Linked DNA regions of Ovis aries. The protein of the gene in region 3 interacts with the protein of the main gene of each other region in a pairwise test. Links are inferred from orthologs where the notes say so. Each region holds a gene or a part of one and is shown on either strand. Other genes may lie near its edges.

What was found. The genes of interacting proteins can lie anywhere in the genome.
Region 1: the proteins of CFAP206 (region 3) and C1H1orf94 interact in binary tests that used the Homo sapiens proteins (3 or more experiments, as listed by UniProt). The two-hybrid records come from large-scale screens. The link is inferred for Ovis aries from reciprocal best matches to the Homo sapiens genes CFAP206 and C1orf94.
Region 2: the proteins of CFAP206 (region 3) and SOX30 interact in binary tests that used the Homo sapiens proteins (3 or more experiments, as listed by UniProt). The two-hybrid records come from large-scale screens. The link is inferred for Ovis aries from reciprocal best matches to the Homo sapiens genes CFAP206 and SOX30.

Annotation. Positions count from the first base shown.
Region 1 is NC_056054.1:9,137,431-9,142,683, forward strand, and holds part of C1H1orf94 (uncharacterized protein C1orf94 homolog), read left to right. Parts: intron 1-1,369; coding exon 1,370-2,058; intron 2,059-5,248; coding exon 5,249-5,253.
Region 2 is NC_056058.1:66,883,978-66,889,230, forward strand, and holds part of SOX30 (transcription factor SOX-30), read right to left. Parts: intron 4,824-5,253; coding exon 4,584-4,823; intron 3,321-4,583; coding exon 3,141-3,320; intron 1-3,140. UniProt on the Homo sapiens protein: Acts both as a transcriptional activator and a repressor. Binds to the DNA sequence 5'-ACAAT-3' and shows a preference for guanine residues surrounding this core motif. Binds to its own promoter and activates its own transcription.
Region 3 is NC_056061.1:49,877,377-49,883,296, reverse strand, and holds the start of CFAP206 (cilia- and flagella-associated protein 206), read left to right. Parts: upstream 1-2,213; 5' UTR 2,214-2,574; intron 2,575-4,558; exon of another isoform or gene 4,559-4,560; 5' UTR 4,561-4,561; coding exon 4,562-4,669; intron 4,670-5,146; exon of another isoform or gene 5,147-5,175; coding exon of another isoform or gene 5,176-5,199; exon of another isoform or gene 5,200-5,216; coding exon of another isoform or gene 5,217-5,231; intron 5,232-5,325; coding exon 5,326-5,409; intron 5,410-5,920. UniProt on the Homo sapiens protein: Essential for sperm motility and is involved in the regulation of the beating frequency of motile cilia on the epithelial cells of the respiratory tract. Required for the establishment of radial spokes in sperm flagella.

The DNA.
Region 1 (5,253 bases), on a different chromosome or scaffold from region 3:
CGGTACCATGATGCTGAGCAAGGGACCCAGGATCACATAGCTGGGAAGTGACTGATCCAGACTGTGAGCTCCAGCTGCCACCTTGCTGTCCCTGCTCTGACTCAGACCATCCTGCAGTGCCTGGGGCCCCGGCATTCTGGACACCACATCCAGAGCTGTTGACTCAGTCCTGTCCCCTTTGCTGCTGGTCCTTTAGTGCTTTGGGTCCTGAGCACCACCAAACAGGGAGCGATGGACAGAAATCAAGACTCGGCCCACTCGGCAAGATGGAGCACTGGGAGAGGACCCAGGGGTCCCGATTCCCAGAACCAAGCTCTTAGGACTATTGCCTGTTCAGTTCAGTTTAGTTCAGTTGCTCAGTCATGTCCAACTCTTTGCGACCCCATGAATCGCAGCACGCCAGGCCTCCCTGTCCACCACCAACTCCTGGAGTTCACTCAAACTCACATCCATCAAGTCGGTGATGCCATCCAGCCATCTCATCCTCGGTCGTCCCCTTTTCTACCTGCCCCCAATCCCTCCCAGCATCAGGGTCTTTTCCAGTGAGTCAGCTCTTCGCATGAGATGGCCAAAGTACTGGAGTTTCAGCTTTAGCATCATTCCTTCCAAAGAACACCCAGGACTGATCTCCTTCAGAATGGACTGGCTGGATCTCCTTGCAGTCCAAGGGACTCTCAAGAGACTTCTCCAACACCACAGTTCAAAAGCATCAATTCTTCGGTGCTCAGCTTTCTTCACAGTCCAACTCTCACATCCATACATGACCAATGGAAAACCATAGCCTTGACTTAGACGTAACTTGGTTGACAAAGTAATGTCTCTGCTTTTTAATATACTGTCTAAGCTGGTCATAACTTTTCTTCCAAGGAGTAAGCGTCTTTTAATTTCATGGCTGCAGTCACCATCTGCAGTGATTCTGGAGCCCAAAAAAATAAAGTCTGACACTGTTTCCACTGTTTCCCCATCTATTTGCCATGAAGTGATGGGACCAGATACCATGATCTTAGTTTTCTGAATGTTGAGCTTTAAGCCAACTTTTTCACTCTCCTCTTTCACTTTCATCAAGAGACTTTTTAGTTCCTCTTCACTTTCTGCCATAAGGGTGGTGTCATCTGCATATCTGAGGTTCTTGATATTTCTCCTGGCAATCTTGATTCCGGTTTGTGCTTCATCCAGCCCATTGCCTGTTGGTATAGTATAAAAACCCTGTGGGTCCACATATGGCCCAGTTTCTCTCGTGGAGAGCAATAGGCTTCTCACCTTGGCAAACGTGTTTTCTCTAGCCCCTTTTCCTGGGGTCTGTGCCCCTCTGCAGAGCCACTCTCAGGGAGCGGCCCTAAAGCCATCTCTCTTTCTAACCTGTTTGCAGGGCTCTGGAGCTCACCAGTGGCAAAGACGAGATCTCCTTGTTGGTGGAGCAGGAGTTCTTGAGCCTCACCAAAGAGCACCTCATCCTGGTCACCAAGAGCTCGGGGGAGCTGGAGGCACCCAGAAGCAATGCTGAGGGGCCCAGACAGCCAGCCCCCTGCCTTCTCATGCCTTCACTGGTGTCCAGCAGCAGTGAGCACCCAGGAGCCTCCGTCATGGCTGGTGACAAGCTCCTGGAGCCAAAGGTGGCCGTGTCAGTCGTTGGCAGCCGGCCAGACTGTGATTCTGCCACGTCTACGGTCACGGGCATCCTGCGTGCTGCCAAGGTCAAGAGTGCCAAGGGGACAGAGGACAGGAGCCGCAGCCTGGGGGCCTCCAGCTCGGAGATCAGCAAGCTCCTGGCTCAATTCCCACTGAAGTCCACAGAAATGTCCAAGGCCCCCGACAGCAAGATGGTGTTGGAGGAGACCAGGGTCATCAAGGACTTCCTGCAGAGCAGCATGTTCAGTGGCCCTGGACCCAGAGAGCCCGCGGGGCTGGGCCCGTTCCTTCTGCTGCCTCCCCCGCCTCCGCCTGTGACTCCCAACAAACTCCCCGAGCTCCCTGCTCAGAAGAAGCAGCTTCCAGTGTTCGCCAAGATCTGCTCCAAGCCCGAGGCTGACCCCATCATGGAGGGGTACCAACTGATGGGTGAGTGGGGCTGGGAGCAGGGCTAGGAGGCATGCTTGCTAGGAGGAGAAACTTAGCACGTGGGCTGCATCAGGCACACGGAGCATCGCTGTGCAAAGTAGGGCAAGGTAGCCTTGCTGATGAGCATGGTCCCGGGGTGCAGGCTGTTTTCAGCCCCCACAGCCCTCCTCTGCCAGATGCTCATATACAGGGCACGTCTCATGTAACCAGACATGGTGGCCCTGAATCCAATACACTTTGGGAAGAGGGAGAGGCCTGTTTTGTAACCGACTGGGTTTTTAAATCCATAGGCACCTGAGGACATTGAACGAAGCATTTACCCTTGCTGGATCCAGGGTGAAAGTGCAGCCAGGGGACTCTGAGCTGAATAGGAGGGAATTTAACTGGCTTCTGATGGAGGCTCCTGTCCTGACCATGATGCCTGGTCCCCTCTCCTGGGGATAGGGGGTGAATGTGTAAACTCTCCGGGTGCAGGCAGACTGCTGGCCCTGGGGTTTGTTCCCAGGGACTCCAGGGCTTTGGCAAAGTGCATTCCCACTCCTAAATCGAGGAGTCCGCACCCTCCCCGGATTGCCTCCCCAAATTCCAGGATTCTGCATTTTGTGTCTGTTCTGATCCAGCTACTCAGGCTGGATGGTTCCAAGAAGGAAGATTGGCGGCAGTGACACTTGCTTGCCATCAGCAGTCACTGGGAGGAAGCTGGAAGAAAAACTCCCCCCAGGCTGTGAGAGATGGGTAAAGGAGAGATGCCTGTATTGGGAGGGCCCAGATCCATCTTCCTAAGAAAACAGGGACACAGTCACCCTAGAGAACATTCTGTAGGAGCATTTTAAGAACCCAAGGACTCCAAACTGTGGATGGCATGCTGGACTCTGGGTCCTGGGCAGGCCTCCAGGGGTCCAGGGGCTCTGGGGACGATAAGCTGTGTATGTGAGATGATGGGGCATACCCGGGGGAGGAGACATGCCTCCCACCTCCTTCTCTCCTCTGTCAGACAGGGCTGCTGGTTTGGAGACAGTTCTGTCCCACACACCTTCCCACCATTTGCATGTGTGTGTACAGGTGTGTGCGTGAAGGTGTGCTGAGAGGAACTTTGCAGATGGAAATGCAGTCTGGGCACATCTGAGTGTAACCCTTCTGTGTGTGTAGCTGTGTATGTGTGTGAGCACGCGAAAGGAATGGCAGGAAGGGATGTGTGTGTGTGTGTGTGTGTCTGTGTATATAGCCTTTGGAAGAGGGAGCTTTGGAGATGAGTGAGTGGCAAGTGTGTTTCAGGTGGCTGGGGTGGGCTGTGATGGCAGGTGTGTGGGCCTCTGGGGAGAGGGCTATTATTAGTGGGTACTGTTATCTCAGCACTGGCTGGGGGCCACACTCTGCAACGAGACAAGCTCTAGGAAAAGACACCAGGGACATGTTTTGCTAAAAACTGTCATTTTCTTCTGGCTCAGGCTAGAGCAGCTTTCTCCTTTGCTGGGATGGCAGTAAGCGGGCAGGCCCCATCCTGTCCAGACTCAGCCCCAAGGCCATGGGCTAGTGGGACTAAGAGTTGGTGGGATCGTGTCCACTCCCAACAGGTGATTATGGGCACAAGCCCTCTGATCCTATTGCTACCAGCATGATCCACTGTGCCCGCCATGTGTCCAGTGCCATTTCACAGCCAAGCTCCATGGAGACCAGGACCTCCAAGCTGGGAGAAGCATGAAGGTGCTGAGAGCAAGGCCCTCTTCTCTGCTTCAGCCAAGCAGTGCCTTAAAAAAAAAAAAAAAAATATATATATATATATATATATATATATGTATATATATATATGTATATATATTATACGCTTCTCTGGTGGCTCAGCAGTAAAGAATTGGCCCGCAATACAGGAGACCCAGATTATTTGGGTTCAGTCCCTGGATCAGGAAGATCCCCTGAAGGAGGGCATGGCAACCCACTCCAGTATTCTTGCTGGGAAAATCCTATGGACAGAGGAGCCTGGCAGGCTACAGTCCATAGGGTCACAAAGAGTCGGACGTAACTGAGCATACACGAACCATGTATTTACGCTTGCAGTATGGTGCATCCCCCTGCCATACTTTGTTGGAAGAAAGAGTTTTGTTGGAAGAAAGAGTTCCATCGCTCAAAAGGAAAATCGGGTGAAAAGCCACTGTTGTAGGGGGATCCTTGGTGGTCTAGGCAGTGTCCTTGCACAAGGGAGACTTGGTCTGTTTGGAGAGAGAGAGCTGAGCCTGGCACCGGCAGCAGCCAGTGGCTCACTCGTGCCTCTGTGCCTTTGCCTGCGGTCACCCATGGCTCTGGGTGCAGGGCCTCGCTGCAGACCTCCTCCTCCTGGAATCCCTCCGGTCCTCAGACAGAAGCTGTCTCAGCCGCCCTCTTCCCCCGCTGTGTCCCTCCATCACCTCACGGTCCCCATCTGCCTTGTCCCGGAGCTATTTCTGGGTCTGTCTCTCTCTTCCTCCGTGTTGTGAGTTCCTGCTGGGCCAAGTCTGGCTCTGACTCATCCAAGTGTCCCCAGGACTCAGGTCAGAGCCTGGCGCTGATGAGTGTGCTGAATCGCCACGACGACTTAGCAAGAGGAGAGTCTCTGACAAGGGACCAGCTGCGTGTTGTGTGGGAATGTGTCTGCGCCAACCACCCCCCCCCCCCACCGCCACTAAGCCAAGTGTGCTCCCTGAAGACAGGAACTATCCGGAACCTTTGTGATCCAACCTACAAATGGTTAGAGGGAAGGAAGGGAGGCAAAAAGAGGGAGAAAGGAAGAAGCGGCAGGGAGGAAAAGAGGAAGGAAGAAAAGAAAGAAAAGAAGGTAAGGAAAGAGAGGGAACTAAAAGGGAGGAAGTTTTTTAAGGAGGAGAGAATGGGATTAGGGAAGGGAGGATGGATGAGTGGATGGAAGGAAGGAAAGATGGATGGGTGGGTAAAAGGATGGATGGATGGGTGGACAGACGGAAGAAGACAAGAATGGATGAATGCATTCATGCATGCAAGGGTGTGAGACCGTCATGGGCGCTGGTCAGGGAAGGCTTCAGGGACTGGACTTGGACTGAACTTGGTTGAGAGAGAGCCCAGAGTGGTGGGAGTCTCAGGTGTGCTGCGGAGGATCCATGACTTTGTCCACAAGACCATGCTCCCCCCATCCAGCATGTGGTCTTCCAGAGTCACTGACTCAGCTTCTCTCCTGCTCTAGAACGG
Region 2 (5,253 bases), on a different chromosome or scaffold from region 3:
TAGGCAGGGAAGACTGGCATGCTGCAGTCCATGGAGTCACAAAGAGCGGGACACAACTGAGCGACTGAACCAAACTGAATTTAATATAAAATTAAAATGCTGGCATAACTGGCATCAAAGACATTTGATAAAGGGAAGTGTCCAAAAAACTATTCTGGACTATTAAGTTGTAAGTACTTTCAGAAACTGGAAACAGGAGATAAGCTCAATATGGGGGATTAAACGTGAGAGAAAAATTAGATTTTTGGAATTACAAATACGGGCTAGGAAAATAAGGCTGATAGGGATAACTAAAATAAAAAGTTTACAGAAGAATGAAGGTTATTTTATATGATAATGCTAAAAACCCAAAAGGAAAACAATGTGCCTTAAAAATCAAAAAGTTGTTGTGGCTAACTGACCAACTCAAAGTAAAAGTGAAGTCGTTCAGTCGCGTCTGACTCTTTGTGGCCCCATGGGTGGTAGCCTGCCAGGCTCCTCGTCCATGGGATTTTCCAGGCAAGAATACTGGAGTGGTTTGCCATTTCCTTCTCCAGGGGATCTTTCTGACCCAGGGTTTGAATCCAGGTCTCTCATACTGCAGGCAGACTCTTTACCATCTGAGCCACCAGGGAAGCTTGACCAAATTAAAGAGTACCCACAAAAAGGAAAGATGTCTTTAAAATGAAGAGCTCATCCAAATCTGTAAAAGAGAAGCCAGAGTGTGTAAGTGTGATGCAAGTAAAAATTAGACAGTTTAAAAGAAAATTGAAGAAATTACATCTGTAGGACCTTAAAATCAACAGTAAGTGCCTTTTTAAATACTTTTACAGAAAGAAGAGACTCAATGGAATCAATGGGATAATCATTACAGTGTAAAAGTCAACTGAAAGAATGGAGAGACTCAAAACCCACTTCCTACTACGACCTTAAGAAGATATCTGAACCTACTTCATTTTCACAGCAGATAGTTTAAAAATATTACATCAAATGCAGTATAATGGCAAGTTCACAGAATGTTCTAATCCAAATTGATAAAATGAATATAAGAGATCTCAGGTGGCATTAACCTAAGAGCTTTAAAGAAACTCAAAAGTTAGAACTGAGAAAATATTGGATGAAGTAGATACAAATGGTCTCTCTGCCAAAAATGTCAATCAAGAGCATTTTTGGAAAGTCAACATAATACCAGGTTATCAGAAGTAGTGAACTTGTTTTTGGAAGTAGTAAGTTTACTTTAGAGCCATAGTTTGGTGAGTCGATTTTCTACACTAGTGAAATCTATACAATATATTTGTATACAAACCTTTCTAGAAAAAGAACAAATTGTTTCTGTTGAGATAAATTATACCTCACTAATTTGGTATCTTTCTTCCATGGAAATAAACAAGTTTGAAAGAACACAATTACCATGATTTCATATTTAGAATATAAAATTAGTTGATCAAACAAAAAAAAAGGAATGGTATAAACATTTGTATCTGTTGATAATGAGCATTTAAAGGTAGACTTTAAAAGCAGATTTTCTGAGGGATTTGTACTATAATTTTTTCTTATTTAAGAGTTTTATAAATGATTTACAATGTAAAATATACAGTGACATTTCCAAACTTGCAACTGATACCAACTCCTCAAAGTACTATACACCAAGCTGATGAGTACAACTAAAAGAACATATTTCAAAAGCTGTATGATTGGGCAGCAGAACAGACAATAAGTCTCATCATAACTATTGTATAACAATTATATATATGTAACTATTATACATATAACTATATATATACCTGGGGAAACAATTCCAAAATTTCATATTTAAAAGATAATGATCTTTTTATAATTTGAGGTCCCAGAAACAAATCTTTACTGATACTACCTAAGAAGAAATAAGAGAAATTTAAAAATAAAAAAGCCAACAAAAAATACCTAGATTTGATTACTTTATATATGGTTCTAAAAAACTTCCTATAATTGTTTTTCATACTTATATAAAACATCATGAATGTAAGAGCTCTACCACTTTCAATTTCCCCAAACCTTTGCTCAGAACTGCATAAAGTTAATATATTCTATTAAAATGTCAGCTGCCTCAAGCAAGAACACTGATAAATATATTTCTGAAAAAAGAAAACATACAGCATTTATTTAACTGTAGATAGAATGACATGGAAGAAAAGCTTTAGAAAAAGGTGTAAAAAGAAGAAATATAGATGATAAAAGCATAAATCATAAATAACAGATTACACAAGGTAAGTTTTTTTTTAAAAAAAAGCATAATTAAACCCAGTTTGAGTATAGAATTAAAAGAGATACTACAAAATAGCAAAGGTACTGAGAGAGGAACAGGGTGATAGGATCAGCTTTCTTTGCCTTGAGTCTGGATACCCTTGATGTGGCCTTGTTGGTATTTATGACTATAATAATACACAGGGGGAAAAAATGAAAATGCCTAAGTTCGCAATAAGTCAATTTTAAAACTGGAGAGAACAGCAGTTTTAGGACAAGTGATAGTAAGCAGGGAATGTACAAAGCTATGCCTCAGAGATGACTAAAATAGGCTCTGGAAGAACAAACTAATGATGGATAGCCCTATAAAAGTTCTTAAGATATTAAATTCTCAATTTGGGGTTCTTAAAAGCAAAAGATAGGAATGAAGTAAAGAACTGATAATAGAGGAGAAATTTTAGGGAAAGACAATATAATGAACCAAATATCTGGTAGAAGATAGATTACTTCCATTGCTTTCCTGGAGCAGCAAAAAAAAAAAAAAAAAAAGGGTCTTAACAGGTCAGTCACCATTATTAAATTCCAGGACAGGATGCCTCATACCTCATCAGCAAGGCATGCTAACACTAAAAACACATTCCTATTTCCTACTGAATTACCTCAAGTCATTTCATGCATTATCTGCATAATCTATGGACTCACCCTGATTTGTTTAAAAGGTCTGACATGGAATATTTACTAGTCTGGCAAACCAAGGACTTTGATGTCTACTGAAAATTTTCCTTCTCTGATTTAATGTTTTCACTTTCTCACTTTTGATTTTTTTCTTAATATTGTCGTTTAAACTCTTAAGCTATCAGAAGCAAAATTTCAAGTTGAGAGGCAAAATCACCACATAAGCCATTATAAAATTATAATCTACAATAAAACCAACTCACCAACTGGATGAGTGATGGTGTTCTGTAGGCTGGGAATTACCACAGAGTAGGTAGGTGAGCGATAAGGATAAATTGTTGTTGGATTTGTAGAGATGATATTCTGTGTGGTACCAGAAAATACATTGGAAACGCTTAGAGGGAAGCGTTTTCGCTTCCCTGGACGAGGTTGATAAACCCAACCTAGAGAAGAAGATTAACCATTTTTAATTTGAACCTACAAATCCTATTTAGCCTTTAAATAGTTCTTTTCACATTAAAAGTCCAAAATACTTCTAAGTCTTAGTTGTCTGAAGTATCTTTTCCACTTCTATGATACTATTTTTGAGCATTTCAGCATATCTATCCATATGGCTCCTAGCTAGTGGTCAATGTTGTAACTAATAATTCAAAGGAAGACCAAGAGCAAATGTCTTTTCTCCAAAGACACATGATGAATTTACAGTAAAATCAACATTAAAGGCACTGAGTCTGAATTCCAAAGTTTTTCCTCTACCTATTAAAAAAAAATGCCCCAGTAAGATGCTATTTGTCTCCTCCCGTTTTTTTTTTTAATTTCTGTAAGATACAATTATCTATGTCTTACAATGAAGTGGTTATTAATGACCAGTCACTATTTTTATGTCTTCTTTGGGAAAAGTCGCCCTTTTAGACTTGGCAGTCTCCACATCCACAAACCACCCAATTTCCTTCTAAACTCAGAAAAATGGAGTTATGGCAGTTGTTGCCACTGTACAACCAAGAGAATCACTGGTTCCCTGTAACCACTACTCTGACCATTGCCAGCCTGAATCTCTCTATTACTTTAGGAAAAAAATTCTTTCCATGCACAATGTGTTGGTCATATCAACATATATTAAGCTTTTACCAAGCTTAATAACAATGTCCTCACTGCTGGGGAGAAAGTCAGAATTTATTTCAAACTATATCATGATGAGGATAAACTTATCAGGCAGGAGGCAGGACTAAATTCTGATAACCATATAACATTAAAATGGAGCTTGGTGCTAATGCCTGCAGTGTGCACTGCATATTTTTCTGTTGCTATGAGCTGAACACTTCATTTTCTAATATATTTGAAATATCATAGCATAGAACTCTGGAGCTTCACCTTCATTAAATTTATATTTTTATATTAAATCAAAACCACTGTAAAACTGTATATCCCCAGGTTTGCATTAGTAGGCAAATATAAGACCAGATCAGGTTTGCATTGGTTGGCAAATATGAGACCAGATATCGTTCTACTTTGCTCTGTTTAAGAAAACTTACGTCCAGTGTCAATTCAATCGTTACTATAGTATTAACCATAATTTTCTCTATTGTACATATCAGACCAGAAAAAAATTACACTTTGTCTTTCAATCTCATCCTAACCTATTCTTTACCTAAATAAATAAATTTAAAAGAAATTAGAAAGAGGCTTTGTTCATTTCATTTGATTACCAGGAAATTCCTCTCTGTGCTTTTCTTTAATCTTTTGTGCTTCATCATAATAGGGTTTCTTTTGTTCTTCACTAAGTTTGTTCCACTCTAACCCGAGCTGGACACTGATTTCTGCATTGTTGGCTGCTGGGTTAGCTTTGGCTAGTGCTGGCCGGTGGATTCTTGCCCAAACCATAAATGCATTCATGGGTCGCTTCACATGACCATTTCTGTCCTTACTGAAGGGAGTATCTGGTATTCCTACATGACAAAAATTAAAAGACTAAATTAATGTGCCACACACACACACACACACACAATTTTAAAGTGAAGTGCACCTCCAACTATATTTACTTTTTAAACATATGGAGAAAATATTCACTTCAGTATAGTCAAAGAACTGCCAGTATTCCATAATTCCTCATAACCCTTGAACTCAGCATTCTAAACTGTGGTTTAGAATGATTGTTCTTTTCCTCAGAAAGAATATTATTATTGAAGACACTGTAAAATGCTGGCTTATTACTTCCTTGAGTTATATTAATGCTTCTAACAACAATTAACATTTGGCTTATTTCCCATTAAAAATATTCTATTAATGGGGAACAAGAACTATAACTTATTCATGACTATAATCCTAGCACTAGGTGGGTGTACCCTAAAAATTTAAAGGAATTCACTTACATGCCGC
Region 3 (5,920 bases):
TGCCCCAAAGCCACTGAGAAGCCTTCATATGCTTTTAGGCAGGGAAATGACTTGATCAGATTTTCATTGTTTAAGTATCATTTTGGGATAGGCAAGAATTTGGAGGGGTCTCTGGCTGGAGAGGGGAGCTCATTTAGTTGGCTGCTGTTGTAGTCCAGGCCAAAAAAAACAAAGAAAAAGTAGTTGCTTTAATTAGTTCAGAAGTGGGAATGGAGAGACTTGAATTGATTCAAGAGACAATAACGAAGACTGGGTTGTTAATTTAAGGATTGAGGAGATGAGTGAGGGAGTGAATGGGTGAAAGACAGGAAGAAACTCACCTTTTAAAAAGCTATCTAGTAACATTATCTGCATATACAAAGTAGGTAAATAGATCTCAGAATTCATCATGGGGGGACTCCCAAGGAATTTCTGATATGCTATTTCTCACTCTCTAGTGTTGAGAATCACTGTCACAGAGGCTATAATGTAAAGGGTTTTATGCTTTAGATCCCGTTTTATTCATTAGGACTATGTATATAAAATTTACCTCGTTTGAGGGGAAAATACACTTAAGAAAGAACCACTAGCCTCCACTCTTTTTTAGAGGTTTGGTTTTGATTGTAACAGAATTTGCTGACTTAATTTTTCTCATTTTGTGTTCTTGTAATTTCATTTCTCTTGTAACACTTGAAAGAACAGGACCCCATGCTTGGGGAGCTGCAGTGTTTCAAGTCACCCCCTAGCCCCACCCCCACCTAGGTTGTGAAAATCTGACCCTAAGCTTTGCTGTTTCCCCGAGGGCTGAGGCATGTGATGGAGAAAAAGATGGGAAACCAATAAGTAATGCTTTTGCTCATCCTTCATCTCACCTTTAAAGGTAATTGATAACCACAAAGAAAGGCCAATTTTTAGGGGTAAGTCTAATGAACTTGGGCTTCCCAGGTGGTGCTAGTGGTAAAGAACCTTCCTGCCATTGCAGGAGATGTAAGAGACATGGGTTTGATCCCTGGGTTGGGAGGATCACCTGGAGAAGGGTATAGCAATCCACTCCAGTATTCTTGCCTGGAGAATCCCATTGACAGAGGAGCCTAACAGGCTACAGTCCATAGGGTCATACAGAGTCAGACACAGCTGAAGCAACTTAGCATGCATGCACACTAATGAACTTAAGAAGCTTGCTGTTTTTGTGTCAGGAAACTCAAATTTTGCTTTTTTTCTGGCTCTTCATATCTGTGCCCATGTAACTAACTCTAAAGAGGAATCTCTCTAAGGAAGATGATTAAGAAATGATCTTGTGAATCTTGACTGAAAGGATGTGGGAAAGCAGACTAAAAATAGTTAATGCTTTTTCTAAGGGAACCTTCAGTAAGAATGACTTGCATTGTCTTCCTTGGGCAATGGTTTCTTTTTCATCATTACTCTGAAAATTCAGCTACCCACTCCATCATCAAGCATTTCTGTGGAGAAGGAAGGTTAAACTGGAAAAGTAAATTGTCAGCTAATTCTTAGACTATGGCTTCCTCCATTTCAAAACTGGTAAACCATACATATTACATAGACTAACATGATGGTTTGTGTTTAAAAAAAAAAAAAGCCAACTGTTGCATAGTGCATGGATAATAATAGAGAACATGAGTGAGATAGGTGAAAAGCACGAGATCTGAATTTTTATTTTAACTTTGAGGATTTCTGGAAACCAGGATGCAGCTCTATTTTAATGATCTATATAGCCCAAAAGCATAACCCAAAGTGGAGAATTCTCCATTATTGTGCCTTTTCTTTTTTTATTATGAGATATATACAGAAAAGGTTAATGTAACATATGCACCATTGAATAGTTATAAAGTGAACATCCATATAAATACTATTCAGATGCATTAGAGATTCTTAATCATGAGTCTACTGATACTTGCAGAGAATTTGCCCATATCTCCTTTTTTCTTTTTTTTTTAACACTGCATAAGTTTCCACGCTGCTAAGTTAATACGGTTGTTTAAGAAATCTAGTTTTTTACATCCTTTAGCTCACTGAGGTGTAGTGAACCTGTCTTCTCTCTGGGCTTTGGGTCTCTCTATATCTCGTCTTTTTTTTTTTTTTTTTTTTAAGTTATCCTCGCCCATCCCTTCCAGTAAAGGCTCTTTTGGACCCAGCCACGCCTCCCCACCTTGGCTCTACCCACGCCCAGGTCCCGCCCCTTTCGGGCCCTAGAGTTTGGTCTCCATGGTTACGCCGAGAGTTCTGGGCTGCCGTGAAAGCCCCAGGGAAGAATTGGGTAGACCCGGCTCAGGCTCTTCACTACAGCCAAGGTCAGCCCAGCCTGGGCTCCACGCCCTTGATCCGGAGTGTACCTCGCGAGGAGGCGAGCATGGGTCAGCGGACGGAGCCTGGGCCGCGGGAGCATGTCGTCTAAACTGGTTCAGGCGAAACTGACAGTAAGGACTCTTCAGGCCCCGCCGCTGAGCGTAAAGAGCTGTCGCTTCCGGTCGGAGGCTCACAGGTCCCCAGGTCAGATCGCTAACGCGTGCTGCTCACCGCTGTTCGGCACTGCTCGCTGCCCCGCCGGCCAGAACTCGGGAGGTTTAGGCTGAAGCGGTGGGTGTGGGGAGGGTCGGGGGGCGGGGACTGAGGAGAACCCGGAGAGACCTGTACCGGGTGCCCGACGGCGCACGCGCACACGCGCGGCTTATATTCATTGAGCAGGCGTTTGTTAGTTACCAGCTGCTGGTTTGATGCTCTTACTTTCTGCCAACGCTATGTTAACCACTAAGTATATAGACTGGGAAAGGAGTACGTCAAGGCTGTATATTGTCACCCTGCTTATTTAACGTATATGCGGAGTACATCTTGCGAAATGCCCGTCTGGATAAAGCACAAGCTGGAATCAGGATTGCTGGGAGAAATATCAATAACCACAGATACACAAATGACACCACCCTAATGGCGGAAAGTGAAGAGGAACTAAAGAGCCTCTTGATGAAAGTGAGAGAGGAGAGTGAAAAAGTTAGTTTAAAACTCAACATTCAGAAAACTAAGATCTTGGCATCTGGTCCCCTCACTTCATGGCAGATAGATGGGGAAACAATGGAAACAGTGACAGGCTTTATATTCTTGGGCTCCAAAATCACTGCAGATGGTGACTGTAGCCATGAAATTAAAAGATGCTTGCTCCTTGGGAGAAAAGCAATGACCAATCTAGACAGCATATTGAAAAGCAGAGACATTACTTTGCCAGCAAAGGTCTGTCTAGTCAAAGCTATGGTTTTTCCAGTAGTCATGTATGGATGTGAGAGTTGGACTATAAAGAAAGCTAAGCGCCGATGAATTGATGCTTTTGAAATGTGGTGTTGGCGAAGGTTCTTGAGAGTTCCTTGGACTGAAAGGAAATCAAACCAGTCAATCCTAAGGGAAATCAACCCTGAATATCCATTGGAAGGACTGATGTTGAAGCTGAAACTCCAATACTTTGGCCACCTGATGAAAAGACCCTGATGCTGGGAAAGATTAAACGCGGGAGGAAAAGGGGAGGACAGAGGATGAGATGGTTGGATGGCATCACCGACTCAATGGGCATGAGTTTGAGTAAACTCCAGGAGTTAGTGATGGACAGGGAGGCCTGGCGTGCTGCAGTCCATGGGGCCGCAAAGAATCGGACACAACTGAGTGACTGAACTGAACTGAATTGATATAGAACTCAGTCCTCAGGACAGCTCCAGAGACAGAGTAGTAGTCGGGTTTATACTTTTCAGATGAGAAAATCACTTCAAAGAGAAGTTAGAGAAATGGCCAAGGTTTCAGCTAGAAAACGGGGCACGATGGAAACCAGGCTCTCTGGTTCTCCTGGACTAGATGCCAGGTGTTGTTAACCTTACCTGAACCCTAATATGCTGAAAGTGATCTTTACCTACCTGGGATTGCCTTTGTTATTCTCTGCATGCTAATTTCCCCTGTGCTTAGATCGGAAAACCTGATCACTATTAAAACCTACCACCTTTTCACCAGGAGTTCTTTTTTTTCCCCCATGATCCATGACTCGTTATATGTTTTGCTTTTTTTTTTGCTTTTATGCTTTTAATCAAGAGTATAAACCTTCACTTGGATGTGCAAGAAATAGAATTTTGATGATTCGAGCAAGAATTGTGTTCCAAGAGTCTCTGATAATTATGAAAGGTCATTTAGTGAATGTGATGAAATAAGCATGTTCTGTTTCAAGCTGACTTTGCCACCTACATAGTGGAATTTCTCACTAATTCTACTCCTACACCCATCCTCCATCTCTAATACTGTTTAACATTTTTTTAAATTAAAAAATATCATGTTATAGGGGTACTTTTGATGACCACCATCATTTAAATAAAGAGGAAATGTTTCAGTCATTAAGTCCCAATTACTCTCACTGTTATCATTAGTCCTTCATTTTTATAAATATGAAACCAACTAATGAAAAACAAGAGGGGCCTTATATACTAGTAAATATTATTAAGTTAATAAATAATATGACTCTTTACAAATATATTAGTGGTGAAATCTCAAAAGGAAAAACTAATATATAAATACAATTTAAAAAATCTTTTTATTTAGAATGCCTCCCACTCAGGCTGAAAGTGTTATAAAGAATATCATTAGAGAAATAGGACAAGAATGTGCAGCCCATGGAGAGATTGTTCCTGAAACTCTGGTTGCTTTTATGGTAAGAATAAATATTTTTGTGAATTACTGCTTTATTAAAAATTTTTTTTCAGCAGTGCCTATCTTGCTCTTAGAATTCTGTGATGTTCTCTTAACTTGTTGCATTGAAAACCTATGGCGATTGGTAGACAAATTGTGTCTGTGTGTGCTCAGTCGTGTCCAGCTCTTTGCAACTGCATGGACTGTAGCCTGCGAAGCTCCTCTGTCCATGGGATTTTTCCAGGCAAAAATACTGTTTGTTTGTTTTTTAAGTCTATAAAGCATGTTAGTTCTAGATTTAAGAGACTGATCTAGAAGATCTCAAAGAATCTTAGAAACATCAATAATGTTTTTCCTGTGTTGTAAGTTTTTTTCTTTTTAACATGTGTTGTTCACTGCTGTAAAAATTACTCATTTCCTTGATATCTCTCTGTTCTTGCTTTTGGTATAATAATACACAATAAAAATATGGTAAAAATATTCAAATTCGTTTCCCAAGGTAAAATTGCTCCCTTTCTCCAGTTTCTGATGAAGATGCTGAGGAACTGGGTGGTAAGAAACTCAGCTGAATGATCCACCCCTGGGTAATCAAGACAGAGTTATTTAAAAAATGGAAAAATATTAAACTAATGTTGTAGTAATATGAAATAAATGTAATGGACTTTTTCCTACTCTCAGGTGAAAGCTGTTGTTCTGGACCCGAGTAATGGCTTTAACACGGATAGGACACTCACAAAAAGTGATGTGCAGAAACTGGTGAAGGTGATTATCTAACATTTCTCAAATTTTGAATGATTTACTCACAATTCTAAATATTTGATTTGTCTTGCTCAATAGTGCCTTCAGCTCCATGAAACAAAACCCCACCAAACAGTGATGCAAACAAATGAGAGATTAAATTTTTTCTCGTAGAATGAAGTCTAGAGGTTCATAGGTTGTTTTTCCTGGCTTCCTAGGTCACTATCATGCATGTATTTTCACCCCAGGGTCACAAGAAAGCTCTTCTACCTTTGGGCAGGTATAAGGTGAGAGGACAAAGGTCAACATGTGTGTGCAATTGGATCTGTCACTTTGTTTTTTGGAAATAATGGGCTTTCCCAGAATCCCTCCCATCTCTTTCCATTTGTGGCCTGCCTGCATGCTCAGTCGTGTCTGACTCTTTGCCAGCCCATGCACTGTGGCCTACCAGGCTCCTCTGTCTGTGGAATTTTCCAGGCAAGAATACTGGAGTGGGCTGTCATTTCCTTCTCTAGGGGACCTTCCCAACCCAGGG